4 linked regions of the Stegostoma tigrinum genome follow. The protein of the gene in region 4 interacts with the protein of the main gene of each other region in a pairwise test. Links are inferred from orthologs where the notes say so. Each region holds a gene or a part of one and is shown on either strand. Other genes may lie near its edges.

Region 1 (7,425 bases), on a different chromosome or scaffold from region 4:
TCTGATGCAGGTCTTCCACTGTCTGGTGTCCTTGCTTTAGGCACCGCAACTGCTGCAACCAAAGACCTGCTGAGTCCACGCTCTGGTCCTACTGCAGCCATAAGTCTTCACTCCGGGCACTGCCACCCCGCAGCCAATGACCGGCCTAATCCATGAGTCCACACTCCAAGCCACCCACAGCCAGGATTCCTTGCTCCAAGCACTGCCGCCCCTGCAGCCAATGCCCCACCCACACTGTTCCAGCTTCCCCACGTTGTTAGAAGATGAAAAGAAAAAACGGGAAAGAAAAAGTCCAAAAAGGATGGAGGGAGAGAAGGATGCAAATGGCCTGGAGCGTACGGGATCAGGAGACTGAACACTACCTACTTTGCCGACACCACCGTACCTGAAGACATGTCATTGTATAAATATATAGGCATAGATTGGGGAATATCTGTTTCATGATATGGAACAGAAGAGGGGAGAATCAGCAAACAGATTTGATTGACCTAACAATTTGTGGTTCTGGGTGACTGGGATTCTGCTAGGGGCTGTTTCAGAGTCATTTAATTTTCTCTTGGAATTCTCCTACTGGGGGATCATTTGATTCTCAAGGGCACCTTGCGTACTGACAGGGAATGCAATGTGAAACTGAACCATGGTTAGTACCGCTGCCCAGAACCTGGGTTCAATTCCACCTTTTGGTAACTTTCTGTGTGGAATTTGCACATTCTCCTTGTATTTGCATGGGTTTCCTCTAGGTGCTCCAGTTTCCTCTGACAGTCCAAAGACGTGCAGGTCAGCTGGATTGGCCGTACTAAATTGCCTATCCAGGAATGTGCAGGCTAGGTGGACTAGTCAAAGGAAATACAGAGTTACAGGGATAGAGTCGGGGGGTGTGGATCTGGGTGGTATGCTCTTTGAAATTTCAGTATGGACTCGATAGACTGAATGGCCTGCTTCCAAACTGTAGAGATTCTATGATTGTCTTTAGTACAAACTCCCTATGCATTTGTGGTGAGACACAAACAACATTAGCAAGGGGTGTCCTCAATACAGTCTAGGTAGAAAGACATGGAAGCTAAGGACTCAGGGAAATAAACAGTGATGTCTTGAAAAGATAACAAAGTGTGGGGCTGGATGAACACAGCAGGCCAAGCAGTATCTCAGGAGCACTAAAGCTGACGTTTCAGGCCTAGACCCTTCATCAGGGAGGGGGATGGGGAGAGGGTTCTGAAATAAATAGGGAGAGAGGGGGAGGCGGACCAAAGATGGATAGAGGAGAAGATAGGTGGAGAGGAGAGTATAGGTGGGGAGGTAGGGAGGGGATAGGTCAGTCTGGGGAGGATGGATAGGTCAAGGAGGCAGGATGAGGTTAGTAGGTAGGAGATGGAGATGCGGCTAGAGCTGGGAGGAGGGGATAGGTGAGAGGAAGATCAGGTTAGGGAGGCGGGGACGAGCTGGGCTGGTTTTGGGATGCAATGGGGGGAGGGGACAAGCTGGGCTGGTTTTGGGAAGTCCACATTACAGAAGAAGAAATGCTGGAGACCTTAAAATGCATAAAGGTAGATAAATCCCTGGAACCTGATCAAATGTATCCCAGGAAATTGTTGGAAGCTTGGGAGGAAATTCCAATGCCCTCAGCCGAGATATTTGTATCATCGATGCTCATAGGGGAGGTGCTGGAAGACTGGAGGATGGCAAATGTTGTGCCTTTATTAAAGAAAGGCTGGAAGGAAAAGTCAGGTAACTCAGGCCTGTGAGCCTGATGTCAGCGATAGGTAAGTTGTTGAGGGGATTCTGAGAGATGGGGCCTACATGCATTTGGAAAGGCAAGGACTGATTAGGGATAGTCATCATGGCTTTATGTGTGGGAAGTCGTGACTCATAAATTTGATTGAATTTTTTGAAGAGGTGACCGATAAGAAAGATGAAGGCAGATTTGATTTGATTTGATTCATTATTGTCACATGTACTGAGATACAGTGGAAAATTTGTTTTACGTGCTAACCAGACAAATCATACATCCAGGGGTACAATCAGTATAACAGAACAGAATGCAGAATATAGTGTTACAGCTACAGAGAAGATGCTGAGAAAGATTAATTCTAATATCAGAGAAATCCATTCATAAGTATGATAAGCGCGAGGAATAAGCTGTTCTTAAATTCAGTGACACATGCTTGCAAACTTATCTATCTTCTGCCCAATGGAAGAGGGTGGAAGAGAGTATGACTGGAGTGGGAGAGGTCTTTGATGATGTTGGCTGCTTTCCCGAGACAGAGGGAAATGTAGACTGAGTCAATGGAAGGAAGTCTACACGGTTTTTAGCAAGTCTTCAACAAGGTTCAGCATGGTGGGCTGGTTTGTGAGGGTAAATCACATGTGATCCAGGGAAAGCTAGCCAATTGGAATCAAAATTGGGTTGACGATAGGAGGCAGTTGGTTGTGGTACAGGATTGTTGTTCAGACTGGAGGTCTGTGATCACAGTGTGATGCAAGGATTACTGCTAGGTGATGAATGTTGTTCATCATTTATGTAAATGATTTGGATGAGAATATAGTAGGCATGGTTACAAACTTTGCTGGCATATCACCAGCAAAAATTGGTGGTATAGTGGACGGTGAAGAAGGTTGTTGTGATTCGTTGGCTCAACGAGCTAGTTTGTTGTTCCGCAGATATTTCATTGCCCTCTTGGGTAACATAATCAGTGCAGCCTCTGATGAAGTGCTGTTGTGGTTTCCCACCTGTCATTTAAACTCTGGTATCCGTTGATCTGGGTTACCTCACTTCCGGTTTTCCTTCGCAATGGTGTGTATACAGTGTCTAGCTCTAAATGTTTATTAATGGCTTTCTTAGTGGAGAACCAGGCTTCTAGGAATTCCCGTGCTTGTCTCTGCTTCGCCTGTCCCAGGATCCCGGTGTTGTCCCAATTGAACTGGTGGTATTGAAACAGTTACCCTGCAGGGTAATGAAACGTCTGTGGAATAACGAGCCAGCTTGGCAAGCGAACAAACCACAACATCCACAACCTCAGCCACAAATCTACTCTAAAACCTTAGTGAAGAAGGTTATCTAAGAGTACAACGGGATCTTGATAGACTGGGCCAGTAGACCAAGAGATGGCAGTGGAGTTTAATTGAGATAAATGTCGCATTTTGGTAAGACAAAACAGGGCATGACTTTACGTTTATTGGTAGGGCCCAGGGGAGTGTTGTCAAATAGGGAGACCTAGGGGTGCAGATACATAATTTCTTGAAAGTGGTGTCACAGGTAGACAGGGTGATGAAGAAGACATTTGGCACATTGAGTACAGGAGTTGGGATGTTATGTTACAACTGTACAAGATATTGGTAGGGCCACATTTGGAGTAAAGCGTACAATTCTGGCCACCCTGCTATAGGAAGGCTGTGATTAAACTGGAAAGGGTGCAAAAAGGATTTACTAGGATCTTACCATGACTGGAGGGTTTGAGTTATGACAGCCTGAATAGGCTGGGACTTTTTTCCTCTGGAGTGTAGGAAGCTGAGGGGTGAGGTTATGGAGTTTTATAAAATCATGAAGGGCATAAATAAGGTGAATAACCAAGGTATTTCTCTCAGCGAAGTCCAAAACTAGAGGGCATAGATTCAAGGTGAGAGGGGAAGAATTTAAAAGGATCCCCGAGGGACAACTTATTCATACAGGTGGTGTGTGTGCATGGAATGAGCTGTCAGAAAAGTGGCAGAGGTGAGTACAAGCACTTGGACAGATGCATGGATGGAAAGATTTAGAGGAATATGAGCCAAATGGGACTAGATCAGTTTAGGAAACCTGGTCGACATGGGCATGTTGGGCTAAAGGGTCCGTTTCTGTGCTGTATGACTCTATGTGAGTCACTTTAAAATCAGCAAATGTGTTTAAATAAAGTACTTCAGGTACTGAACATCACAAATAGTACTGGGAAATATTGTACTCAAAATGTTAACTCTATTTCTCTCTCCAGATGGTGACGGACCTGTTGAGTTTCTTCTATTTTTAGACTAAATGAAGATGTTATTAGTTAGCTCTGGGCATTTGTATCTAATGTGTAAAATGACAAGTCATTTCCACCCTATGATTTTGTTTTAGCAGCTTGTAGTTGTTGGGCACATCAATATAATTTGTAACTGTCTAATAAGCCACTCGAAGACACTGCAAAATCAAAGCATCAGCCACAAGGGTCAAAGCAGCAGAGGGCAGTGGGCGGGGTTGGATGACACACCACGTGATACTTAACACCGCCCACGAGATCCTTTACAAAGATGATGGTCACCTCTCTCCTCCCCAATCTCCTTTGTATCTCAGTCGACCTCTGCCCACCTTCCCCCCATTTACAAATCGAAAGGAGCAAACTGTCAGCCCGGTCCATCCCTAAACAAAGGAACTACTTGGATTCTCCAGCATCTGCAGTTCCCATTATCACTGATACATCTGCGCAGTTGCGCCGATTCCAATATCGTGAAGAAACTTGGGAAACAGTTTCCAGGACGTGACGTAAGTTAAACCGGAAGGTACTTTGGCCTCGTGTGGAAGCTGGAGAGGTGAGAGAGAAAACGGAAAAAGAATAAAAATTCGGAGAGGGAAGAGAGCGAGAAAAGTAATAAAAGTCTTATGGTGGGGGCGGGAGAGAGAAGTAAATGGGAGAAGGTGGTATTGTGGTAATGTAATTGTCTAGTGACCTAGAGGTCCAGGTTAATGTTCTGGGGACTCTGGTTAAAATCCTGTCATTGGCAGCAATTGGAATTCAAATTCAGTTTACAAGGTCTGGCATTGAAAGGTGGCCTTTGTAACGGTGGCTATCGTAGATTATGTAACAATCACGGACTGTCATAAAAACCCAATCCATGTCCTTCAGAGAGGGTAAATGAATTGTTAACCTTGCCTGCTTTGACCTGCACGTTTCTCCAGTTCCACAGGAAAATGATTGACTTTTGAATGCCTTGAGGGTAGAGAACATACATAAACCTGGTGTAGTGTGTGCGTGGAGAGAAACTCAAGGAGAGGGACAGATAAGGCCTTTGTTGGTTTGTAGAGAAAGTTAACAATTACCTGTAGATGGACTACTGTGGCAATAATCAGTGTAGGAGTGTTAAATATTGATTTCCAGCCTATTGGATTTGTAACTGTCAGCTGGGATGGTCTTGGAGTGGGAGAAAAATGTTGAATCCAGGATGCATGTGGGGTGAGTCAAATTGCTTCTTGCTCCTTCATTGTAATGCAGTGACCCTCTGTGAATATCTGCTGAAGATGTAATGTGATTGGAATTCCTGTAGCCAATCAGACTGGCTTGCAGTCACTTTGAATAAAGCAAGCTATAAAATAAGGTCTGACGTGGAAATGTGCAGCTACCAGAAAGCAATTTTCAGTGCTATTTGAGAGATCTCAGATACCGAAGCTGCCCACTGCAGTAAGACCAGGACAACATCCAGGATTGGGGCCAAAAAGTGGCAAGGAAACATTTGTACCACACAACTGTCAGGCAGTAACCATTTCCAATAAGAGAAAGTCTAACTTGACATTCAATGCCATTACCAGCACTGCGTCTCCAACTATCAACATCCTGGGGGTTATCATTGAATAGAAACTGAACAGGACTCTCCACATAAACGCAGTCCCTACAAGAGCAGGTCAGAGTAACTCACCACATGACTCCCTGAAGCCTGTCCATTATCTACATAGCACAAGCCAAGAATATGATGGAATATTCCCTGCTTGCCTGGATGAGTGAAGCATGACACCATCCAGGGCAAAACGCTGCTTGATTGCATCATTATTAACAAACATTCAATCACTCTATCACCAATGTTTGTAGCAGCAATGTGTACTGTCTACAAGATGCCCTGCAGAAATTTGCTAAAGATCTTTAGACAGCATCTTCCAAACCCACAACCACTATCACAAGGGCGGAAGATAAATGGGAGCAAGACCACCTTCAAATACCCCTTCAAGCCACTCAGTATCCTGACTTCACTGTCTTTCCCCCTATCCCAACAGCATTGTACCTATAGCATATGGATTGTAGTAGTTCAGGAATGTGGCTCATCAACAGCAACTCAAGGACTGGCAAGTGCCCACGTCCTACAAGTGAATAAATGAAGTGGTTTGTTTCTGGGCGTCTGTGACACTTTGGGCACACAGGCAGGTCCAATTATTTGCCAAACCATGACAAATTGCTTTCTTCCCAATAGGTTGAAAAACTCAGTAGGAGCAAGGTGGCCCATTGAACAAACTCCCTTTATTGAGTTTAGCAAAAAACAAGCTGAATCCTTGATAGAATCATCAGATCCCTACAGTGTGGAAAGATGCTATTCAGCTCATTGAATCCACACCGCCTTTCTGAAGATCATCCAACCTAGGCCTTACCTTTGCCCCATAACCCTCCATTTTCCCATGACTAATCCACCAAGCCCACACATTTCTGGTCACTATAGATAATATAGCAAGGCCAGTCCACCTAACCTGCTTATCTTTGGACTGTGGGGGGAAACAGGAGTACCTAGAGGAAGCTCACTCGGACACAAGGGAGCATGTGCAAACTCCACACAGTCACCTGAGGCTGGAATCAAACCCGGGTTCCTGGTCTGTGAGGTAGCAGTGCTAACCACTGAGCCACCATGCTGCCCCAATCTGTGGCATCATCATTTTTTGGTAGACCAGTGTGTGGTCTGATAATAGGATGTTCAGAGAGTGGCTGCTTACTCTAATCGCTGTATGATGAGCTGTAATGCTAGTCCTCTGCTCTTTGTTCTTTGTGCGTTACAAATTGTTTGTGCCTGACTCCCTTTTAATACAGAAATGAAGATGAAATCTTTTCTGAGGGTTGTTGGAATGCAGCATTCTCTTCACCAGAAGATAGAGGAGACTGGTTTTATTTTTGATTGAAATTTAAAGATCTCGTGGGGGGTGGTGGTGAATGATGTACATCTCATCTGAAGTCCCATGTTCTTATCTCTCTGAACTTAGTCCTGTGCAATTGCTGTAGTATGTCTGTGATATTTAAATGATGATTAGAATTAATCCATGTGATCTGCTTGATTTTTGTTTTCTCCCTCAATGGAATATTCTTGTCCCTGCAAGACAACAGAAGCTTCAAGCTTCAATAGAAATGCCCTGACGTGAATTTGTACAGGCTGTGGAAGCACTGTTCTCTTATGACTGATGTAACTTTCCTGCATTGTAATAAATCCTATTGATTGGCTAAGTCCCTGGTCTGATCTTCTGCTGTTCTAGGTTGCAGAGACATTGATGATTTGCACTCTGCTGGCGTCCTTAGCTGGGATAGTATTAATTCATTTCTAGGGAGCAGCTACATATAAATACAAACTGAGTTAAACCATTCAACCCCTTGAGATGCTACCACTATCGGGTGCCCAGAATATTTCATCCATGTGTGCTGTTCAGAAGAGGCAAACTATTTGCTTTCA
Region 2 (7,567 bases), on a different chromosome or scaffold from region 4:
CCGAACCAAACACCCAGCACCTTCAGGTAGTCTGTCCTGACGGTGAAGGGGATGAAGGAGCGGTCGTCCCAGTTCCCGAAGAACATGGCCTCGCTCTTACCCCTATTGACTTTGGCACCCGAGGCCAGTTCAAACTGGCCGCAGATGTCCAACAGCCTACTCACCGACCGACGATCGGTGCAGAAGACGGCGACATCGTCCATGTACAGGGAGGTCTTGACCTGAAGGCCTCCGCTGCCTGGGATAGTCACGCCCTTCAGGCTCACGTCCTTCCTGATGGATGGGGCGAAGGGCTCCACACAGCACACGAACAAGGCAGGAGAGAGCGGGCAGCCCTGCCTGAATCCAGATCTGATGGGAAAACTGTCCAATTCCTACCCAATGATCGAGACTGCGCTAACGATGTTTGTGTAGAGCAGCCGGATCCAATTGCGGATGCCCTCCCCGAACCCCAATTTGGAGAGGACATCCCTCATGTAAGCATGAGAGACCCTGTCGAAGGCCTTCTCCTGGTCCAGGCTGACAAGCCAGGTGTCCACCCGCCTGTCCTGCACGTAGGCGATCGTATCCCTGATGAGCGCGAGGCTCTCAGCGATCTTCCTGCCCGGCACAGCACAGGTTTGGTCGGGGTGATTCACCGACTCCAGGACAGACCTGACCCGGTTGGCTATGACCTTGGCCAGGATTTTGTAGTCCACGTTCAATAGTGAAATGGGACGCCAATTCTTAATTTCTTCCCTCTCCCCCTTCCTCTTGTAAATGAGGGTGATGATGCCCTTCCTCGTGGACTTGCACATTTCCCCTGCCCGAAGCGCACTATCGTACACCTCCAGCAGGTTCTGGCCGACCAGGTCCCACAGAGTGGAATACAGCTCGACCAGTAAGCCGTCGCTCCCGGGAGTCTTATTCCTCTCCAAGGACTTGAGGGCTCTGGTAGCTCATCCAGGGATATCGGCCGGTCCAGCCACTCCCTCGTGCCGTTGTCTAAGACCTCCGAAATAGACGGCAGGAACGGCTTGGAGGCCGTGCTGTCTGTGGGCTTCGTGTCGTACAGTCCGGCATAGAAGGATCTGCAGATCCTCAAAATGTCGGGCCGAGACGACGTCACCGAGCCATCATCCTCCTTCAGCCGGCTAAGCACAGAGCTCTCTTTGTGCACCTTCTGAAAGAAGAAACGCGAGCACATCTTGTCCTGCTCCACGGAGTGGACCCTGGACCGGAAGATTATCCTGGAGGCCTCCGCGGCGAAGAGCGAGGCTTGCTGGCCCCTCACCTCGCGGAGGTCCTCCGTGACATCGAGCCCCATCATCTGCAGAAGGAGCAGGTTCTGCACCCTTTTCTGGAGTCGCGACAGCTTTCTCCACCTCTCTCTCGCCTTCCGAACACCCTTGAGGACAAAGAACCTCTTGATGTTCTCCTTCACCGTCTCCCGTCGCCCGGAGACTCAAAGAGGGGTTTCACAGTTCTCCAACCAACGTACTCCTTCTCAAGCTCCTCGATGTTCTCTGGGGTCAACAGAGTCGTGTTGAGCTTCCACGTCCCCTTGCCGGCCGGCTGGTCGTCCTGTAAGTGACAGTCGGCCAACAGGAGGCAGTGGTCAGAGAAGAACACCGGCTCGACGCCAGTGGACCTGACCGAGAAGGCCCGTGACACAAACAGGAAGTCTATCCTTGAGCGGTCACTGTATATAAATTATGTGCCTGCGCACTTCACTCCATTCACCTGACTAAGGAGCAGCGCTTTGAAATCCTGTGATTTCAAATAAACGTTGGACTATCGAGATATAGGAACTGCCGATGCTGGAGAATCTGAGATAACACAGTGTAGAGCTGGATGAACACTGCAGGCCAAGCAGCATCAGAGGAGCAGGAAAGTTTGACGTTTCGGATTGAGACCCTTCTTCAAAAAAATGTTTCCGTCTCGACCCGAAACGTCAAACTTTCCTGCTCCTCTGATGCTGCTTGGCCTGCTGTGTTCATCCAGCTTCACTCCGTGTTCTCTTATGTTGGACTATAGCCTGGCTTTGTGTGACTTCTGACTTTGTCAGTCCCAGTCCAACACCGGCACCTCAACATCCTAGCTTTTACTTTAATGAGACACCACCCTTATTATAAAAGCAAAATACTACAGATGCTGGAAAACTGAAATAAAAATAGAAAATGCTGAAGAAACTCAGCAGGTCTGACAGCATCTCTCCATGGAAAAACGGAGTTAACGTTGAATGTCTTCGAATGTTGTCAAAACAAAATACTCCTATCAATTCACAGACTGGCAGCCAATATTCTACCTCTCACACGAGAGAATGAGACTATTTAAAATACGCTGACAGATGCTAATATGCACAGCCATCTGTGCCGAAATAACCACAAGACCCGGCGATGAGTGTTTGACAACAAAAACCTCCCAGTCACAGAAGAGATCCTAGAACAGAATGCTTGGGGGAGACACAAACGAAGTGAATGAGTCATTTCTCTCATTTCCACAACCGAAGACATTCTGTTAAATGACCGAAGACACTCTGATCCCCGAAGCTTAGTTACAGCCAGCGGCAGCCTTTACCTGTATGGGGCAAGTGTTTTTGTCCCACTGCTACTGTAGCCTTTCCAGAAATCTTCCGGGAAGAGCCGCCAGCTCCGGTTCCAGGGGCCGGCACAACTCCTCAGCCCGAACGCGAAGCCCATTATTACAAATACAGTGTAGAAAACGGCGATAACTCCGAGGGCTCCCTCTTAACACACTTCTAACTGAACTTTTACACTTCCGCAACCCACACTAAAACCAGATTAGAAGTTCCTTCCCGTCCAATGTCAGCGCAACAGTTGCTCAAAATGAAAGATGGACGGTTCTGCCGACCATTCAGTGTGTGGTATCCGCTGTCAAAGTCTGTTCCAGAGGTCCCAGAAAGAATTCGCCAATGCAGCAGAAAGAAAGCCCAGCGTTTAAACACATCATTGGGGGCAAACGAGACACTGCAACTTTGCTGAACACTGAGGGCAGCTTGTTCTTTGACCCTATGGTCAGGGGTAGGGTTCAATCTCTTTAGAGGAGGTGTGCGGGAGTAAACAGGCAAACTCGGGTAATCAGACCGGAATGCAGCGCCAGGCCAGAAGTGACTCTGCCCACTACAGCCGTTTATAGTATCAGAAATTCCCCACTGAAATCACACCACAGCACCCGACATCTGCAATCATACAGCATTAAAGAAAGAAACTGAACTGTTCAGCCCATCGTGTTTCTGCCAGCTGTTGTGAAATATCTCACTTCCTCAACATCAGGCGACGTTGTTTGGGTTGAACCCACGCTGCAGGCGTTACTCTGCATCACAAACCAACGTCAACCCAACTGACCCTAGTCTGTGCGGGGATTTTACTCTGCATCACAAACGAACCCTCCAGTCAACAGCCTGCTGAGTTTCATCAGCGATTTTTGTTTCTTTTTGTCTTTGAAATAACTGTCCAGTTAGTCTCATTGTGGAATACCAGAGTTTCAAAAAGCAAAACACTTTGAAAAGACTGGGGATGTGGTGGATGGTGTATACAATGGGGTGTGATTTAAGGATAGAATTTCCCTGCAAATCTGTATTTGACATAATGTGAAAAGGTGAAGATCCAGGCATTTGATCTATTTTGTTTTCAGAAATTACCAGGGCTCGAACATTTAATACAAACACGGGATTGTCCAAGCATGAAGGATCACTGGATGAGAAACGTTAACTCAGCAGGTTTTCGAGCATCTGTTCAGAGAAAGCAGAGTTTCTCCTGCACTTTCTGTTTTTGTTTCAGATTTCCAGCATCTGGATGTTTTTGTTATTTTGTTTCCAAGGAGGCAACCATGCAGCATCTGGATGCTTTTGTTGTTTTGTTTCCAAGGAGATAACCATGCAGGCAGGGCGCACATAAAGACAATAAGAGGGATAAATCAGATTCAAAATTACCTTCCTAATTTTAAAAGCTGTTCCCAACCATAAATCTGAATTTCTAATCTGTGTTGATGCTGTCACTTAATAACCATATCTATCCAGATAATTTAGCTGGAATCAATGAACTAACAGTAATTCAACTGTTAATACATTTTCCCCATCAAACACAGTGCAAGTGAGTTGCAGAATAAATTGCTGAGAACACTGTCCCTGTGAATGCTCTGAGGGGAGATGCAGCTAGGCATAGATTCAGAGTAAAACTCCTTTCTATACTGTCCCCACCAATACTCCCAGGGCAGGTACAGCATGCGTTGCGTACAAAATAATGCTTCCTGTACAATTTTACAACCCCATTGAGGCCTGTAACTTTTTTAAAGGATTGAATTTTCCAAACAAATAATAGAAATATAACAAAGGACAAGATCTCACCTTTTAAGACTTTTACTGTAACAAAATATAATCTACATAGATCAAGCCCTAACCTATACATAACTAATGCACCAAACTAAAGAAAACTGTATGTTTTGTATTTACCAACTAAGACAACCAGAATATATATTATCAAACACTTTTGTTCAACATCATGCTTCTGATAGATATGCATCATTAAAAGAACTATCCCAAAGTCACCTCCAGCTCTTCAAAGGAGCCATACTAGGCTGAGTTTGTAGTGTTCTTCAACAATCATTCCATTCTGCCTGGGATCTCACAGATTATAATTATCACCAACAGGTACACTTCATTGGATATGTCTCTCCAGCAGATCATCACAGACCAGAAGGTCTAGAGATTCCCAGATTTGACCCTTTAAAGTTGTTTAGCCAGCTCCGACAAAACTGTTATCACATTGTTATTTGTTCCTATTCCTCAATATTTCTGACAGAACAGCAGCAACGACCTTTCTGGCTCCATACTTTTTCTTTCCAATTCATAGTAGCTGTTCTAGTGAAAGGTGTTAAAACAGCCATTCCACGTCAATGGGCTTTTCTCCTGATGGTGACTGGATCACAATGGCATTTCTCTGAGCCAAAGTGCTTGGAGAAGACATTTTAAAACACATAATTGTCTTGTAATGTTCAGTTTTTATACCACTGTCCCCACCAAATGCTCCCGGTGAAGGTACAGTATAAATTCAACGTACAGTAAAACTTCTTCCACACTTCCACATTAAATAATGAAGCAGGTACAATACTGTTTTGATACAGAACAAAGCACCTTGCAAAGCAGAGTTATCTAAGCTCCTTCCGGGAAGATGGTGACAGAGTAACACTCTCCATGCAGACCCTCTCTACTCCGCCTGTTCTTTTTCTTTTGTTACTATTTTCTTCTCTCCTTTTAACGCTCCTGGAGCAGTGATTGGGGCAGTAGTCCCCAGAACAGCACAAGGGAAAGTGTGTCTCAAAACATCATGAGAGGAAGCTTGGCCTGGAACAACTCGAGGGAAAATGAGTCCTGGAGATCTGCGAGAAGAAAAGCCAGTCCAGGAGCAGCGCAACTTACCTTGGTGTAGCTGAGTGTCTGGTGGAGCAGCTGGAGACTTGGAGTGGAGTGGGACTGTTGTTGGTCAGGGGCCTGGCGTGGGCGATCAGACCACGTGCTTGTTGAGCTGCTGCAATGTAACATTGATCTGAAATTCTTTACCGGACTGTAATGTCAATCCTTTAACTTTGTTGTAACTATTCTACTTCTAACTTTTTTTTAGACACTGTAAGTAATGCTATTACTTTTCCTTTTATTCCTGTTTTGTATCCAACATTTATACCTAGCTACTTCTACCTAAGATGGTGCCATTGTTAAAACTTTTCACTGTACTCATGTACTCCTCTGCTGGAGTACATGTGACAACAGTGAATACTCTATCCCTTGCACTAGGGGTGTGGCACATTTCAACTTCTCTTTCTCTTTAATGGGGACTGTGATTGGAAGTGCAGTGAGCAAATATAAACATAAGGTTTGGCACAATAAGGGGTATGAATTTTTTAAAATTCCAAAGAAATAAATTAATCATTTAAGTAAATTAGTAACTCATAAAATTGCCATTAAAATGTGTCAGCGGCAAATACAAGTTTTTTTTAACCACCTTGGTTAAGAAACAGAGCTAAAGCTGGACTAGGTTGCAAGTCCTGATCACCCAAAGCTGTGGGTAGGCATTGAGGCCAAGTTGACTCGGATTTAACTAACACTGATCTTGCTTTCATGTCTGGCAACACACACTCTGAGCTGGCCTTGGTACAATTCATATAGAAGTGGGGGTTGAGTGGGGGAGAAGTGTTAGAAGCATCTTGTCTTTCGGCCAGGGTATTCCTGCACACCCATGCTGCTTTGCAGATTGGTTTTGAGGAATGAAGAGGAGGAGAAAAGTGAATTTGTGTTTGGCTTCCTCAGTCTCAAGGTTCATAGAAACTCTCCCACTCCCCACATACACGCAGAAACACACACATTCACCCCTCCACTCTGTTTCTCCCACACAAAAACACACATGCCTGCATTCAATCCTCATGCACACAAACGTGCACCCTTGGTCCTAAACCGACACTGTCCCATATCCGTACACTCCCATTCCCCATACAAGCTTTTTCTAATTCCAATACATACTCACTTAACCACTCTGACATTAACTCGCCTACTCACGCTCCTTCATTCCCATATAAATGCTGCCAAGTGATCAACAGGCCTGCTCCACCACCTTGACTGCAGCCTTTCAGGGCATCAATGCTTCAATGAAAGGGAGAGTGCTGTCATCTCACAACCTGTTTGCTATCCTGGACCCTCCTTCCGTAAACCACTTAGCATCTCAGAGTCTTCTCCCCCATCTCCCTCACCATCTTAAATCTTTCTACCCCATCTCCTTCACTATCTCAGAACCTTCTCCTCCATTTCCATCACCATCTCAGAGTCTTATCCCCTGAACCAGTTATCACATCACAGCCTGTTCTTCTCACCCACCTACCGGGTATGCTGTCCTTTACAGTCTCCCCCACACAGCAGCAGGCTTACCATTGTTCCCAGTGTCCTCCTCAAGCTCATTGAAGATAAGGATATTTGCTGCTCTTCCAAAAAGAAGTTATTTATACATAGAATCCCTACAGTGTGGAAACAGGCCATTTGGCCCATTGAATCCTCCAAAGAGCATCCCACCCAAGCCTACACCGCCCCCCCCCCCCCCACCGCCATTCCTGTCACTCTGCATTTCTCATGGCTGATCCACCTAGCCTGTACATCTTTGGACTGTAGAAGGAGCCCATGCAAGACATGGGGAGAATGTGCAAACTCCCCACAGTCACCTGAAAGTGGCACAAACTGTGGTCCCTGGTGCTGAGGGGCTGCTGTGTTAACCACTAAGTCACCATGACATCCCAAAGTAAGGAGGTCCTTGGTCTCTAGATGGTTTCAAACCACCAACCTTCTGGTTACAGCCAAATGCACTAACCTACTGCAACACACAGACAGGTGCCATTTCTTTTCTGTGTTGCTGCCCATTGGCTCAGTAGTGAACCGATCTATGGCAAGGGTGGGAACAAAACAGCTTCAGAATGATGAGCATCTCCATGGTGGATCTCTAACATGTATTTAACTGTATTTACAACAAGGCTTGATGGCCAGATAGGCCCTCTAGGAATAAATTGGATATAAATTGCAAAGTTTACT
Region 3 (7,799 bases), on a different chromosome or scaffold from region 4:
GATTCTTTTTGGTGAAAGTCATTGAGTACTGAGTGACACGATTGTTACTTGCCACTTATCGTTCCAATCTTGAATGTTGTCCATGTTTTGCTGCATGTGGGATGGACAGCTTCAGTTTCTGAAGAGCCATGTATGGAACAATGCAATCATTAATGAACATTTTCCTTGTGATTTCACAATGGATGCCGTCATTGATGAAGTAGTTGAATATGGTTGGATTGCAGGCATTTTCCTGAGGAACTCCTGGGGCCATGCCCTAGGACTGAGATGATTCCTCAGACAACCACAACCATCTTTCTCTTTGCAAGGAGTGATTCCGGCCAGTGGAGATATTTCCATCTGATTCCCGTTGATGTCAATTTTACTGCGGCTTCTTGATAGCAACTCACTTTATTACTGTAATTCAATGTTGTTCTCCATGACAACAGCTGTAATGAGGAAAGGAGCCAGGGATCCTGATGGAATCCAAACTAAGTATTGGATATTCCTTGGCCCAATAACCAGGGCTCAGTACTCTCAGGGATGGGTCCTTTGTGCTCAGGGCTGAACCTGGACGCTCTGGGTCAGGCACAGCACTGGAGCTTGTGATTCCTGCTTGGTGGAAGCTGTCTGTCAGTCTGCTGATGACCGAGAGTAACCCCATGGATAGTAATTGGTCACACCGCCCTGTCAGTAAGTGAGCAAAATGTACTTGCAATACCAACTCTATAATAAAGCAAAGTAAAATGGCTAGTTTATGGATAATGACAGGCATTGGTGAGCCCCTGAATATGGGGAAATCAAGTGATTGAAAGGGCAGAAAAATTGTGGAAGAATGGTTTCCACTCGTGTATTTAAATGAATTGAATACATGGATACATTTTGCTTGACATCTCTATTGGTGTTATCCAATAAAAACTGGTGGGCAGCTTGAAATTACCTCTTGTATTATTTTCTCATTTAATAAATTATTAAGCTTTGTTTTCATTGTTCAACATCACTGAAGTCCTTAATTAAATTACTACTTATGTAATTTACTCCCACTCTCACTACATCCACTGGATACTGCATTGGTGTCTCACTGGGTGTTTTTATAAGTTACTGAATAATTTTGTTTAGATTGTCAGTCTGACATTTGATTTCATTAACTGGCAGTGGAGATAAAATAGGCCCTGTTCCAAACTGATCAAGCTCAGCCTGAAGATATTGCAGATAATGGTATGGAAGTGGTAAGAAAACACACTCACGTCCCAGTCACTGTTTGTTGTGAGCACTGTCAGCTCTGCTGTGAAGTTGTCACTGTGATTTAGAATGAGATTCCATCCTACAGTGAGGCAACGAAGCATGTACCATTTTAGCCTTTTGGGTTTTCAACTTAGTGCAGCTTTGAGACCAACTGCACTATGATGCTGAGGCTTTTTTTCTATTCATTTGTGAGGTGTGGACGTCGCTGGCTGAGCCAGCATTTCTTGCCCATCCCTAGTTGCCCTTGAGAAGGTGGTGGTGAACTGCCTTCTTGAACCACTGCAGTCCTCCTGCTGTAGGTTGACCCACAATGCCATTGGTTGGGGTGGGGGATGGTGGAATTCCAGCATTTTGACCCAGTGACGGTGAAGGAACAACGATGTATTTCCCAGTCACGATGGTGAGTGGCTTGGATAGGAACTTGAAGGTGCTGGTGTTCCCATATATCTGCTGCCTTTGTCTTTCTAGATGGATGTGGTTGTGGGTTTGGAAGGAGCTGTTGAAGGATCTTTGGTGAATTTCTGCAGTGCATCATTCAATGTTCGATAAGATCATTGTCACTAGATTAATAATCCGGAGGCCAAGACTAAAGCCCTGGTAGTGTGAGTTTACATCTCACCCTCGTGAGAAATTGAATTTAAATTCAATTCATGCATTTTGTTTTAATTAAAGAAGTGCTGGAATTGAAAACTGGTTTCAAAGATGTAACCATGACATTATCAGTAGTTGGTGTAAGAAATCCATCTGTTCATTAATGTCCTTCAGCGAATGAAATCTGCCACCCTTACCTGTGATTTCAGAGCCACAGTAATGGGCTTGACTCCAAATGTCCTCTGAAATGCCTGAGCAAAAAAACTCAGTCATACCAAACCAAAAACAAGTCAAAGAATGAAAGTGGATGAACTACCTGCTTTCAATGTTAGTTTTGGAAAAACAGAACACCTGCCCTGCCCACCCTACAAAGCCCTAATTACAGAGTTTCTGCAACAATTTGGAGAGCTGTCCTCCACAGAAAGACAGGGTAACAAAGTGTGGAGCTGAATGAACACAGCAGGCCAAGCAGCATCTCAGGAGCACAAAAGCTGCTTGGCCTGCAGTGTTCATCCAGCTCCACACTTTGTTATCTTGGATTCTCCAGCATCTGCAGTTCCCATTATCACGCCACAGAAAGACAATTGGGCAGGTTGGCTGATTCACACTGCTTTCTGGGTACCACAGGAATTAAGTTCTAGGCAATCAATTGATACTGTTAAGTGGTAAATTAGTGACTAGTTTATGGGCCTGTACATTGTTACCACCCTGATTATCACTTGTTTCCAGAGGACAAGAATCATAGAATCCCTACAGGACAAAAAGAGGCCATTTGGTCCATCAAGTCTACATCCTCCGCCAAAGAGCATCTCACCCTGTCCCCATACCGTACATTTCCCATGGCTAACCCACCTACTCTGCACACCCCTGGACACCGTAGAAAATTTAGCATGGCCAATCCAACTAACCTGCACATCTTTGGACAAGGAGAGGAAACTAGAGCGCCTAGAAGAAACCCATGCAGACACAGGGAGGACATGCAAACTCCACACAGGTGCCAGCACCATCATAAAATGTGCCCCCTAGTATCAGCTGTTCTGAACTTCCACATGGCAGTGCCACAGTAGTTTGTCCGACTGACGTGACCTCTGATTAGTCGGCAGTTTCACATGTGGGCAGGATATCACCAGGAAGGGATCCCAAAGGAAAGTCAACTAAGTGATAGGCGTGTGATCCAGTAGGCTTTCCCATCTGCAGTGCAGTAATGGGGATGGAGGGCATTTGGCCTGTTTTGATGGCTTCCACAACAAAAGCAGGAAATTCCACATAAGGACCTTTCGGTGAGGAAACTGAAGAAATGGAAGAATTCTTAAACTGGGGGTGGGGACAGGAAGAACACACGAGATCTGTGTAGTTCAGGAACAATCAGTAACCCTTCAGCCACAGAGACTGGTATTTGGTAAAATTAAGAATCAAAAATGTTCAAGGAAGTGACTTTTTAAAATATATATTATGATTTGATTTGATTTATTGTCACATGTACTGAGGTAGAGTGAAAAGTGTTGTTGTGCATGCTATACAGGCAGATCATACCATACAAAGTGCATCAGGCTAGCAGAACAGAGCGCAAAATACAGTGTTCTAGCCACAGAGAAGGTGTAGGGAGAGAATTAACATTTGAGAGGTCCATTCAAAAGTCTGACAACAGCGGAGAAGAAACTGTTCTTGAATCTGTTCGTATACGGAAACTTTCAGATCTGCTGCCAACAGGTGGAAGCGAGTATTTGATTATTTTGTTGTTTTCCCGAGGCAGTGAGAAGTATAAATCGAGTCAGTGGATAGAAGCTTGTTTGTATGATGGCCTGGGCTATGTTCATGATTCTGTGTAATTTCTTACGGTCTTGGGAAGAGCAAATGCCAAACCATGCTGTGATGCATCCATGTAGGATGTTTTCTGTGAAGTAGCTATAAAAATTAGTAAGAGTCATTGTGGACATGCTGAAATTTATTCGCCTCCTGAGGAAGGAGTGATGGTGTTGTGCTTTCTTGATCATCATGTTGACGTGGGTAGACCAGAGCAGGTTGTTGCTGATCATCACTTCCAGGAAATTGACACTCTTGAATATCTCCATCTCAGCATCATTGATGCAGGCAGGGGAGTGCCCCCCCAACTCACTTCCTGAAGTCAATGACCAGCTCCTTTGTTTTGCTGATGTTCTTCGAGAGATTGGTGTCTTTACACCACTGCCACCAAGCACTTACTCTCCTTCCTGTACTTTGTCTCATCGTTGTTTGAGATCCAACCTACAATGGTGGTGTTGTCAGCGAACTTGTAAAAGGAGTTGGGGCAGAATGTGGTCACACAGTCGTGAGTGTATCAGGTGTATAGTAGGAGGCTGAGTACGCAATCTTGCAGGACACTGGTGTTAAGGATTATCATGGTCCTCCATTGTGGTGTTGTTGCCTATTCTTACCGATTTCAGTCTATGAGTCAGCAAGTCAAGGATCCAGTTACAGAGTGGGGAGCCAAGACCTAGGTCTTGGAGTTTAGAGATGAGTTTATTTGGAATAACAGTGTTGAAGGTGGAGCTGTGTGCCAGAAGTAGGAGCCTGACTTAGGTATGTTTGTTATCCAGATGTGCCAGGGGTGAGTTTAGGGCCAAGGAGATGGCATCTGCCATGGACCCGTTGTGCTGTTAGATGAATTACAAAGGATGATTGCCCTGGAGCTTCAGCATAATGGTATCACAAGTATTCTACAGCGGCAAAATGATTTTTAAAAATTGTAAGTTTACTAGAGTCTGGAAAAGCTCATCAATTTTCATCAAAGGTATTTCAATTTTAGTATAAAATCTGTAAACCAATCAGGCTTGCTGTAATTCTACCTGTTTGAAATCAGAAGGCTGTGGTTTTGTGAGCTGGCCTCCTTTGCAAACATTCTCATTGTTTTGTGAGTAAGTAGAACCCTTAATGAATCAAACCACACCTAAAGTTTCAGGAAGTTGTGCTCAAAGGAGAAGGCTATTGTCAAGAAGTCTTCTCTGACTGAAGGAAAAATAAAAATCCCAAAACAGTGAAGGGAGAACAGATTTTCCGTGGTTTCTTTGTTCCATGTACGATTCCCTGTGGGCTGAAAGCAAGGCGTCAGTGAACGGACCTTAATGGTTACTTTCAGGTAGGATTTGAAACTTGTTGGCCTGGAAACACACCTTAGGCAGTTTCAGCTGGGAGTTGGATATGACGAGGGCAGTCAGTGTGGTAACCTGATGCTACTTGAGTAGTATTGCTGCTTTGCTCCATTTAAGCAGTGTCTGCTGACTTTTCAATAATGCTCTATACATGGTGCCAAAAAGAAATTATTTCTCAGGCTTGTGTTATGTCGAACATTGGTGAGCGTTAATTGACTTTTTGCTTTCTGATTAACCTTCATGATAATATCTTGAAGCATGACGTAAGTCGTACATTCTCATGTTTCATCCAAAACTATAAACCCATCATCCAGAAAAGGCTCAAATTTTTTTACATTTATGACAGATATGGGAGCGTTTTGTGTGTCCTCTTTATATGTTAACTATGGAACAATTTTTCTTTTGTTTTTAAATCTCAAATCCCAAACCTACACTTTTATTACCTCTAAACTTCAATGTTAATGGCTTCAGACTCATGAGATTTACAAACCATTTTTTGGTGGTCATGAGTCATTTGATACCCCAAAAGCATTACCAGTAATAATAGGGTTATGTCAGCAAGAATAACTAATTATGGATCAATACTTATACCTTGGGATGTGGAAGTCACCAGACCAGGCCTGGTATTTCTTCTCCGGCCCTAATTGCAGAAATTCTGATCATTTTATAAACCACAAGAGTTCTCAGAGTCTGCACAAACATTTGGTTGGAACTGACATTGAAACTGGAATGCAAACCATTTGAGGCGTGGCTTTACTTTTCAAAAAGCAGCTGTGGGAGAACTTGATCAGCTGCCTCTTAAAGAGGTACTGTACGTGCGAATTTCTTAATGCATTCATTTCCCAAATGTATGATGCAAACAGGGAAAACATACACGGAAGTTGTGTTTGAATCAGATCATTTGAAGTTAAGATAATAAAGTGTGAGGCTGGATGAACACAGCAGGCCAAGTGGCATCTCAGGAGCACAAAAACTGATGTTTTGGGCCTAGACCCTTCATCAGAGAGGGGGATGGGGTGAGGGTTCTGGAATAAATAGGGAGAGAGGGGGAGGCGGACCGAAGATGGAGAGAAAAGAAGATAGGTGGAGAGGAGAGTATAGGTGGGGAGGTAGGGAGGGGATAGGTCAGTCCAGGGAAGACAGACAGGTCAAGGAGGTGGGATGAGGTTGTAGGTAGGAAATGCAGGTGCGGCTTGAGGTGGGAGGAAGGGATGGGTGAGAGGAAGAACAGGTTAGGGAGGCAGAGACAGGCTGGTGATAATGGGAACTGCAGATGCTGGAGAATCCAAGATAATAAAATGTGAGGCTGGATGAACACAGCAGGCCCAGCAGCATCTCAGGAGCACAAAAGCTGACGTTTCGGGCCTAGACCCTTCATCAGAGAGGGGGTTGGGGTGAGGGTTCTGGAATAAATAGCGAGAGAGGGGGAGGTGGACCGAAGATGGAGAGAAAAGAAGATAAGTGGAGAGGAGAGTATAGGTGGGGAGGTAGGGAGGGGATAGGTCAGTCCAGGGAAGACGGACAGGTCAAGGAGGTGGGATGAGGTTAGTAGGTAGGAGATGGAGGTGCGGCTTGGGGTGGGAGGAAGGGATGGGTGAGAGGAAGAACAGGTTAGGGAGGCAGAGACAGGTTGGACTGGTTTTGGGATGCAGTGGGTGGAGGGGAAGAATTGGGCTGGTTGTGTGGTGCAGGTGGGGGGAGGGGACGAACTGGGCTGATTTTGGGATGCGGTGGGGGAAGGGGAGATTTTGAAGCTGGTGAAGTCCACATTGATACCATTGGGTTGCAGGGTTCCCAAGCGGAATATGAGTTGCTGTTCCTGCAACCTTCGGGTGGCATCATTGTGGCACTGCAGGAGGCCCATGATGGACATGTCATCTAAAGAATGGGAGGGGGAGTGGAAATGGTTTGCGACTGGGAGGTGCAGTTGTTTATTGCGAACCAAGTGGAGATGTTCTGCAAAGCGGTCCCCAAGCCTCCGCTTGGTTTCCCCAATGTAGAGGAAGCCACACCGGGTACAATGGATGCAGTATACCACATTGGCAGATGTGCAGGTGAACCTCTGCTTAATGTGGAAAGTCATCTTGGGGCCTGGGATAGGGGTGAGGGAGGAGGTGTGGGGGCAAGTGTAGCATTTCCTGTGGTTGCAGGGGAAGGTGCCGGGTGTGGTGGGGTTGGAGGGCAGTGTTGAGCGAACAAGGGAGTCACCGCTCGGTTCGCTATAAACAACTGCACCTCCCAGTCGCAAACCATTTCCACTCCCCCGCCCATTCTTTAGATGACATGTCCGTCATGGGCCTCCTGCAGTGCCACAATGATGCCACCCGAAGGTTGCAGGAACAGCAACTCATATTCCGCTTGGGAACCCTGCAGCCCAATGGTATCAATGTGGACTTCACCAGCTTCAAAATCTCCCCTTCCCCCACCACATCCCAAAACCAGCCCAGTTTGTCCCCTCCCCCCACTGCACCACACAACCAGCCCAGCTCTTCCCCTCCACCCACTGAATCCCAAAACCAGTCCAGCCTGTCTCTGCCTCCCTAACCTGCTCTTCCTTTCACCCATCCCTTCCTCCCACCTCAAGCATCACCTCCATTTCCTACCTACCACCTCATCCCACCTCCTTGACCTGTCCGTCTTCCCTAGACTGACCTATCCCCTCCCTACCTCCCCACCTATACCCTCTCCACCTATCTTCTTTTCTCTCCATCTTCGGTCCACCTCCCTCTCTCTCCCTATTTATTCCAGAACCCTCACCCCATCGCCCTCTCTGATGAAGGGTCTAGGCCCAAAACGTCAGCTTTGGTGCTCCTGAGATGCTGCTGGGCCTGCTGTGTTCATCCAGCCTCACATTTT
Region 4 (7,546 bases):
ACCCTCGCTCAAATCTTGGGGTGCTGTCAGGATTGTTGGAGGCATGTGTTGGTCCTCGAACAAGCTACTCTTAACAAAACAAAAATGAAGAATTGCGGGTGCTGGAAATCAAAAACAAAAAAAAACACTAATTACTAGAAAAGCTCAGCAGATCTGGCAGCAACTGTGGAGACAAAGCAGAGTTAACGTTTCATTGAAGTAAACATTAAAGCTACGTCCACTGTTAGGTTGTGTTTTGACTCTGCATTACACACTGAAAGTGTGAATTATTAATATCAGAATGGTAGATGGAAAAAGAAGCTCAGTCTTGTTAGAAGTGATAATGTGCAGGTGCTGGTGTTGCACTGGGGTGGACAAGGTCAGAAATCAGACAATATGAAGTTTTAGTCTAGCAGGTTTATTTGAAATCACAAGCTTTCAGAGTATAACCTTTTTTGTCAGGTGAAGTGAGAGGGAAGCACACAGAGACAGAATTTGTAGGCAGAGAGATCAAGGGCAGAGAAATCAAAAGATCATACAAATGGTGAGAGTGGAGTGTCAAATAATAAGTCTCTGCAGGTGAGCAAAAGTATCAGATGTGAGTACAGCATCAACAACTGAATAACAAACCAAGGGATTACCTATAATCTGATTAAATGAGGCTCAGAAATAATTACAAAAACATTAAAAGTAAGGTGGTGCTGGAGACAAACCAAATGACTGGAATAACATGACATCATCTTATTTTTAATTTTTTGTAATTATCCCTCTGCCTCATTTAATCAGATTATAAACCATCCCTTCACTTGTTATTCAGCTGCCAACACTTTACTTATACGATCTGACACTTCGGATCACCCATGGAGACTTATTATTCAACACTCCACTTCACACCAGTTGTATGATCTTTACATCTCACTGCCTATAAATTCTGTGACTGTGTACTTCTTTCTTATTTCGCTGATGAAGGGGCTATACTCTGAAAGCTTATGATTTCAAGTAAACCTATTGGACTATAACCTGGTATCATCTGATTCCTGACCGTGTTAGAAGTGAAGTTGGCAATTGAGCCAGGCCCTGTCAGATGAGTGCTCAAGACTGAACCCACTCTTCTGTCTTTATCAGGTCTTCGCTGTTATGCCAAGTTCCATCGGAATCGGAGAGTGACCCGCAGGCGAGGACGATGTGTGGAACCAGAATCTGTTGACATCAATCATGGATCATTTATTACGGTCTGAGCAGACATCATAAGGAATCCAGCTGTTTTGACCCACACAACGAGTCAATCCTCATCCAATAACAACAGTGAAAATCTTGATGGCTCCAAGAATGCCTGTGACTGCCCTGATAGGCGATGCCACATCTGGGGCAGTCTGGAATAAGATTCTTGCAATCACCCAGTCATGTCTGTTGAAAATATCCCTATTTACGCCCTACATTCCAAAACTATAATCCAACAAATCCCAACAATACCCAGAATCCACTACTCAACTATGATAATGGAATCCCCAATGGTTTATATTGTCCCATTCAACTCATTTCTTATTTGAAATGATCCTGCTGCTCGTACCCACACGAAAATTGTATTTGTAATACCGTACTTTCATAAACAGTTTTGAATGTTATTTAGCAAAATGGTAACTAACACAATATTTAGCAATAATACCTTGTATACAAGAGTTTCTTGTTATCTTTGAATTCCTCCTTATATCTTTTTATTTTCTAGGAATCTCCCTACAGTTCTCTCCCAACAGCTTTACTTGAGACAACCTCCCATCAGGTATCACCCTTCTGTTAAAACGTTGTCACCATTGATCATTCATGAATGATCATTCTCTTGAAATCAGATGTCCCAACATGTTTTCAGCTTTAAACTTATTGATATTACTACAAACCTGCAATATTTCACCAACTTTTAAAAATAAATATAATTTAAACTCACAATAAAACCAGACTCTTTAAAACACAATTTAGGCTCCTGCACAGCCTAAAGCCGTGATCAATTACTGTATAATAATTGAATTGTTTATAGTTAATCAATCTGAAATTTTTCATTTGATGTTTACTGAGCTACATCTCTAGGTGCTGGTACCAGCCTGTACCTTGCCCAAGTGACTGTTACCAAGTATGAGTCTAAACATTGAATATTCGTAAATTATTTGTGGACTGTTTGAATGTGAAGGGCAACAAAGACTCTGTACTTTTCTCACCTGATAACTGGGCATATATCCAGGAGTGTCCCAGATAATAATAAGAATCAGAAAAGCTGGTTGATGTTATACAGATATGTCGAAGCTTTATCATAACATCCACCGAATAGATGACCCTTGTTTTCAAAGGACTACTGTCATTTCAACTTAATATAACTTATAATTAATTACCTTTTCCAACAATGTTCTCCAAGTAGTTTTCAACCCTTGTTATAACTTGTGTTGTAAGAGGTGAAGATGGAACAAGGAATAGAAAGTACTGAAAACACTGAGCTGGTCCGTCTTCATCTGTGATAAGAACAGAGATTCGTTGTTTTGAGTAAAGGTATTTCAGATGCACAACAGTGTCTGTAATATTTTACTTCTTGTACAATGTTAAAACACAGCCTTTCTATGACTCAGGTATAGATGGGCATAGGTGCAGTTCTTGTGTTTTTGTATTAGGACAGTCCAATTTAGATATTGCAGTAAGGGTCAGGGTTGTGATGTGAGAATCTCTACTTTGAATAACTGTAAAACTGAGAGAATATTTAACTTTTTTTATAGATATATTGTCACATTATTATAGTTAGTCACTGTGACAACCATCTGGCTTGAACACATATTGCTGTTTTTCATCATTGTTGGGTCAAAATCTTGGAAGTCTGTACCTAACAACATTGTGTAAATATTTTCATACACAGATAGTAATGATTCAGGAAGGCAAATTACCATCACCATCGAAAGGGCATTTAGTGATGGGCTATAAATGCAGATCTTGCCAGCAATGCTGTATCTCAAAAAGAAATGTAAAGTCTTTGCAGACTGTATGTCATATTGTTATAGTTGCATTGTCTGTTATAGTTACACTTCGTGTTGTCCTGCATGTGAATTTATAGCAATGGAATGCATGACGAAAGAATGATTATGTATCAGATTTTGCACTTTTGTTTTCTATTTAATTTTAATATTAGCCTACATGAAACAAACAAAATCTGACAACCAATTAAAAACTTTGAAATGGAACATACTGACTAAGTTCATCTCACATCTTGGTGCACACCTGATTATTTCAGTCTCATTGTAATTTTAATTGTAGAGAAAATGAACTTCAGAATCGCTTCTGTCAAATGTTCATTTGTTTGTATCCAACAGTTAGATTGAGATGTGTTCTTTATTATTGGATCAAAATGTAGAACTCCCAGCACGTTGGGAGAACCTTCACAACATGAATTGTAATGGTTTAAGAATAAGGTCTAGTGCCATCACACCAAGGGAAATAGGTAGTACAAGCTGGTCTTGAGAGTTACCCCGCCCCCTTTACCTATCTCCTCCCTACCTCCTGCATTCTCTCTTACTGGCTCCATCCCCGCCTCTTTGACTTGTGTGTCTTTTCCACCGATCTTCTCTATCCATCTTCGATCCGCCTCCTCTCTCTCCCTATTTATTTCAGAACCCCCCGCCTTCTGAAGAAACGTCTCGGTCCGAAACGTCAACTTTTCTGCTCCTCTCATGCTCTTTGGCCTTCATCCAGCTCTACACCTTGTTATCTCGGATTCTCCAGCACCTGCAGTTCCCATTATCTCTACCACTGAGACACAGCTGATGCACCAAAGTCAAGATAGTTTTGGCTTTGTTTTTTACTGTCAGTATTTTTTGTCTCGCACCTGATACTTTACATATTTTAAAAGGTACAGTGTATTAGAAAATCTATCCCTAACTGATTTGACGTAAGCAAGTGGCAGTGGTGTATTAGTTTGGCATTTGAGGGATGTGCAAGCCCACCATAAATATTTGATTATTACGATTTTAATGAATGTCCACAGTGTTGGTCGTTGGTCTGGGGGTGTGATCTGCTGCAGCAGGTCCGACACCCGATAGAGACCAACTCCGTGTGGACAAGTGCCAGAAACCACAGCAAAATGCGAAATGTCACAACTCCCGCACTCCTGTCAGCGTTAACATATTCATTTTGTTCAAAAGCCTCCCCTGTCAACAACGCTCCCATACCCTAAATAACCAATTCTGAAACAAAAGTTTCATTTGGCAGCATCGATGTATGTCGATTTAAAGTTATTTTAGCTAATGTAAAATTAACGGGTTTTTTTCGTTCTGGGGATAATGACGATTCAAGTGACTCGGCAGAAATATAATGTTAGCGCATCAGAGGCCCACTGACTGTGAACTATGTCCACGATTAATTTTAAGACTCTCTTATGACGTTAAGCAGCTGATTCTCAGAGAGCAATGAGTCAGTGTCATTGATCGGTTTTGCCACCTTCTTCAATTGTGGGGTTTGAGGCGGGAGGAACCCAACAAACATCAGCACCCTGAGGGTTTCCTCATCCAGCCCGGGTCACATGATGCAGGGTCACATGGGTCGCCTCGAAGTTTGTTACTTCATGAAGTTTCAGCGATGGAACTGCCGGTGGTTAGCCTGAAGGTAAAGTTTGTGGAATGGAAATGTGAGGGTCAAGAAATCGAACTCCGGCTGCCCGCTAAGAACAGGGTTATCGATCGGGATCTTAAAGAAACAGTCTGGCTTTAGGAACAGCCCGAAGTTTAAATTATTGGTGTTGTGCGGAGCTGAGCATAACTTTTGTCCCTTCATCCCCTTTTCTCCCTCTCCCGTTGTTCCCTTGCCTTACCTTCCCCTAGCTCCTACTGCCTGCTTTCCCCCTTCACTAGTGAGCTGCAGACTGATATCTAGTCGACGGGCTATAGGGAGTGGTTTTGTCAAATGACAGAAATTCTGAGTCAGTTTCAGGCTATAATCTCGGGTGTTCTGTGATTCTCTAGGAATGATGTTGTGGGAGAACGACAGACTCTAGTTCAGTCTGTCTATAGAATTGTAGTGTTTGTTTGTTCTTTCGGATTGACCTGGGTTCGTGTTTCTACAGATGATCATCGTTGTGCACTGGCTCCTGACAACTTGGTGAGTGATGCATTAATTAACAAGCATCTGTTAACTGGATTTGTATTCCTGTCCACATGGTGAAAATATGTGGTAATATCAAACGCTCATTGATTTTTTTTCTTAGCCCTTTTTTGTTGTAGAAAAAGTATTGCATCCTGCTTGAGGATTAATTGAAAGTAAATTGCCATTGAGACAAAGGAAATTATATAAAGGTTGACTAAAGAATTGGCCAAAGAGATGGAGTTTAAGGAAGGCTTTGAAGGGGCAGCAAAGATTCTAGAACACAAACCTCAGAAGAACAATATTCAGTAATTGACAGAAAGTGACCATATTGTAAATTATTGTCCAGGATATATGTTCCAGAGGTTAGACAACAGCTAATAGTCATTGGAGCAAATATTTAAGGGGAGCTGGTTAGGAAGGGGCAGTGCTGTCTGGAGTTTGTATTGAACAATGAAATGCAGATAGGGTGGCACGGTGGCTCAGTGGTAAGCACTGCAGCCTCACAGCACCAGGGACCCGGGTTCAATTCCAGTCTCGGGCGACTGCCTGTGTGGAGTTTGCACATTCTCCCCGTGTCTGTGTGGGTTTCCTCCGGGTGCTCCGGTTTCCTCCCACAGTCCAAAGATGTGCAGGTTAGGTGGATTGGCCATGCTAAATTGCCCATAGTGTTCAGGGTTGTGTAGGTTGTAGGGGGATGGATCTGGGTGGGATGCTTCAAGGGGCGGTGTGGACTTGTTGGGCCGAAGGGCCTGTTTCCACACTGTAGGGAATCTAATCTAGGAATCGAATCTAATCAATTTATGGAAAACTGAGTCCTGCTTCGGTAATTGGATGATTGACAGTATGTGGCGGTGGTAGTGAAAGAGAATGTTTCACAACACTAGTTATTTAGACAGTGTTTGGAAGGTGTGGGTGGAAGTTGTAGACATGGAAGAAACATAGAAACAAGACGAGGGTATTCGGTCCTTCAAGCCTGCTCCACCATTCTTCATGATCATGGTTGATTATCCAACTCAATAGCCTATTCCTGCTTTCTTCCTCATAATCGATCATTCACCCCCAAGTGCTATATCTAGCCACCACTTGAATACATTTACTGTTTTGACATCAACAAATTTCTGTGCTAATAAATTCCATAAGTTCACTACTCTTTTGGGAAAATAAATGTCTCCTCATCTCTGACCTAAATGGTCCATTTTGATTCTCAGACTGTGATCCCTGCTTTTGGACACACTCACCATTGGGAACATGCTCCCTGCATCTATCCTATCTAGTCCTATTAGAATTTTCTAAGTCTTTGAGATCCCCTCCTCATTTGTCTGAACTCCAGCAAAGACAATTCTAACCTAGTCAATCTCTCCTCATATGTGAGTTTCATCATCCCCAGAATCAGCCTAGTAAGCCTTCATTGCACTCCTTTTGAGAGCGAGAGCAAGAGCATCCTTCTGCAGAAAAGGAGACCAAAACTGCACACAATATGCTATGTATGGCCTCACCAAGGCCCTGTATAATGGCAGCAACACATCCCTGCTCCTGGACTCAAAACCTTTCGCAATGAAGGCGCACACACTATTTGCCTTCTTGACCGCCTGCTGCACTTGCGTGCTTAATATCAGTGACTGGTGCACAATGACATCCAAGTCCCACTGCACACTCCCTTCTCCCAATTTACAGCCATTCACGTCATAATGTGCTGATAACAAAGTGTGAAGCCGGATGAACACAGCAGGCCAAGCAGCATCTCAGGAGCACAAAAGCTGACGTTTCGGGCCTAGACCCTTCATCAGAGAGGGGGATGGGGAGAGGGTTCTGGAATAAATAGGGAGAGGGGGGGAGGCGGACCGAAGATGGAGAGAGAAAAGAAGATAGGTGGAGAGGAGAGTATAGGTGGGGAGGTAGGGAGTGGATAGGTCAGTCCAGGGAGGACGGACAGGTCAAGGAGGCGGGATGATGTTAGTAGGTAGGAAATGGAGGTGCGGCTTGAGGTGGGAGGAGGGGATAGGTGAGGAAGAACAGGTTAGGGAGGCGGGGACAAGCTGGGCTGGTTTTGGGATGCAGTGGGGGGAGGGGACGAGATGGGCTGGTTTTGGGATGCAGTGGGGGAAGGGGAGATCACATTGATACCATTGGGCTGCAGGGTTGCTAAGTGGAATATGAGTTGCTGTTCCTGCAACCTTCGGGTGGCATTATTGTGGCAGTGCAGGAGGCCCATGATGGACATGTCGTCTGAGGAATGGGAGGGGGAGTTAAAATGGTTTGCGACTGGAGGGTGCAGTTGTTTATTGCAAACCGAGCGTAGGTGTTCTGCAAAGTGTTCCCCAAGCCTCCGCTTGGTTTTGCCAATGTAGAGGAAGCCACACCGTGTACAGTGGATACAGTGTACCACATTGGCAGATGTGCAGGTGAACATCTGCTTAATATGGAAAATCATCTTAAGGCCCGGATAGGGGTGAGGGAG

What was found.
Region 1: the proteins of agtrap (region 4) and txn2 interact in binary tests that used the Homo sapiens proteins (3 or more experiments, as listed by UniProt). The two-hybrid records come from large-scale screens. The link is inferred for Stegostoma tigrinum from reciprocal best matches to the Homo sapiens genes AGTRAP and TXN2.
Region 2: the proteins of agtrap (region 4) and acsf2 interact in binary tests that used the Homo sapiens proteins (3 or more experiments, as listed by UniProt). The two-hybrid records come from large-scale screens. The link is inferred for Stegostoma tigrinum from reciprocal best matches to the Homo sapiens genes AGTRAP and ACSF2.
Region 3: the proteins of agtrap (region 4) and synaptotagmin-16-like interact in binary tests that used the Homo sapiens proteins (3 or more experiments, as listed by UniProt). The link is inferred for Stegostoma tigrinum from reciprocal best matches to the Homo sapiens genes AGTRAP and SYT16.

Annotation. Positions count from the first base shown.
Region 1 is NC_081391.1:3,482,980-3,490,404, reverse strand, and holds the start of txn2 (thioredoxin, mitochondrial), read left to right. Parts: upstream 1-4,285; 5' UTR 4,286-4,495; exon of another isoform or gene 4,496-4,542; intron 4,543-4,899; exon of another isoform or gene 4,900-5,183; intron 5,184-5,556; exon of another isoform or gene 5,557-5,628; intron 5,629-7,425.
Region 2 is NC_081375.1:36,164,160-36,171,726, forward strand, and holds the start of acsf2 (medium-chain acyl-CoA ligase ACSF2, mitochondrial), read right to left. Parts: upstream 3,273-7,567; 5' UTR 2,682-3,272; coding exon 2,560-2,681; intron 1-2,559. UniProt on the Homo sapiens protein: Acyl-CoA synthases catalyze the initial reaction in fatty acid metabolism, by forming a thioester with CoA. Has some preference toward medium-chain substrates. Plays a role in adipocyte differentiation.
Region 3 is NC_081363.1:29,171,247-29,179,045, reverse strand, and holds the start of synaptotagmin-16-like, read left to right. Parts: upstream 1-4,703; 5' UTR 4,704-4,930; intron 4,931-7,799. UniProt on the Homo sapiens protein: May be involved in the trafficking and exocytosis of secretory vesicles in non-neuronal tissues. Is Ca(2+)-independent.
Region 4 is NC_081381.1:28,426,026-28,433,571, reverse strand, and holds the start of agtrap (type-1 angiotensin II receptor-associated protein), read left to right. Parts: upstream 1-4,513; 5' UTR 4,514-4,584; coding exon 4,585-4,611; intron 4,612-4,967; exon of another isoform or gene 4,968-5,068; coding exon 5,069-5,103; intron 5,104-7,546. Other genes in the region: draxina (draxin), read left to right, coding at 1,105-1,217. UniProt on the Homo sapiens protein: Appears to be a negative regulator of type-1 angiotensin II receptor-mediated signaling by regulating receptor internalization as well as mechanism of receptor desensitization such as phosphorylation.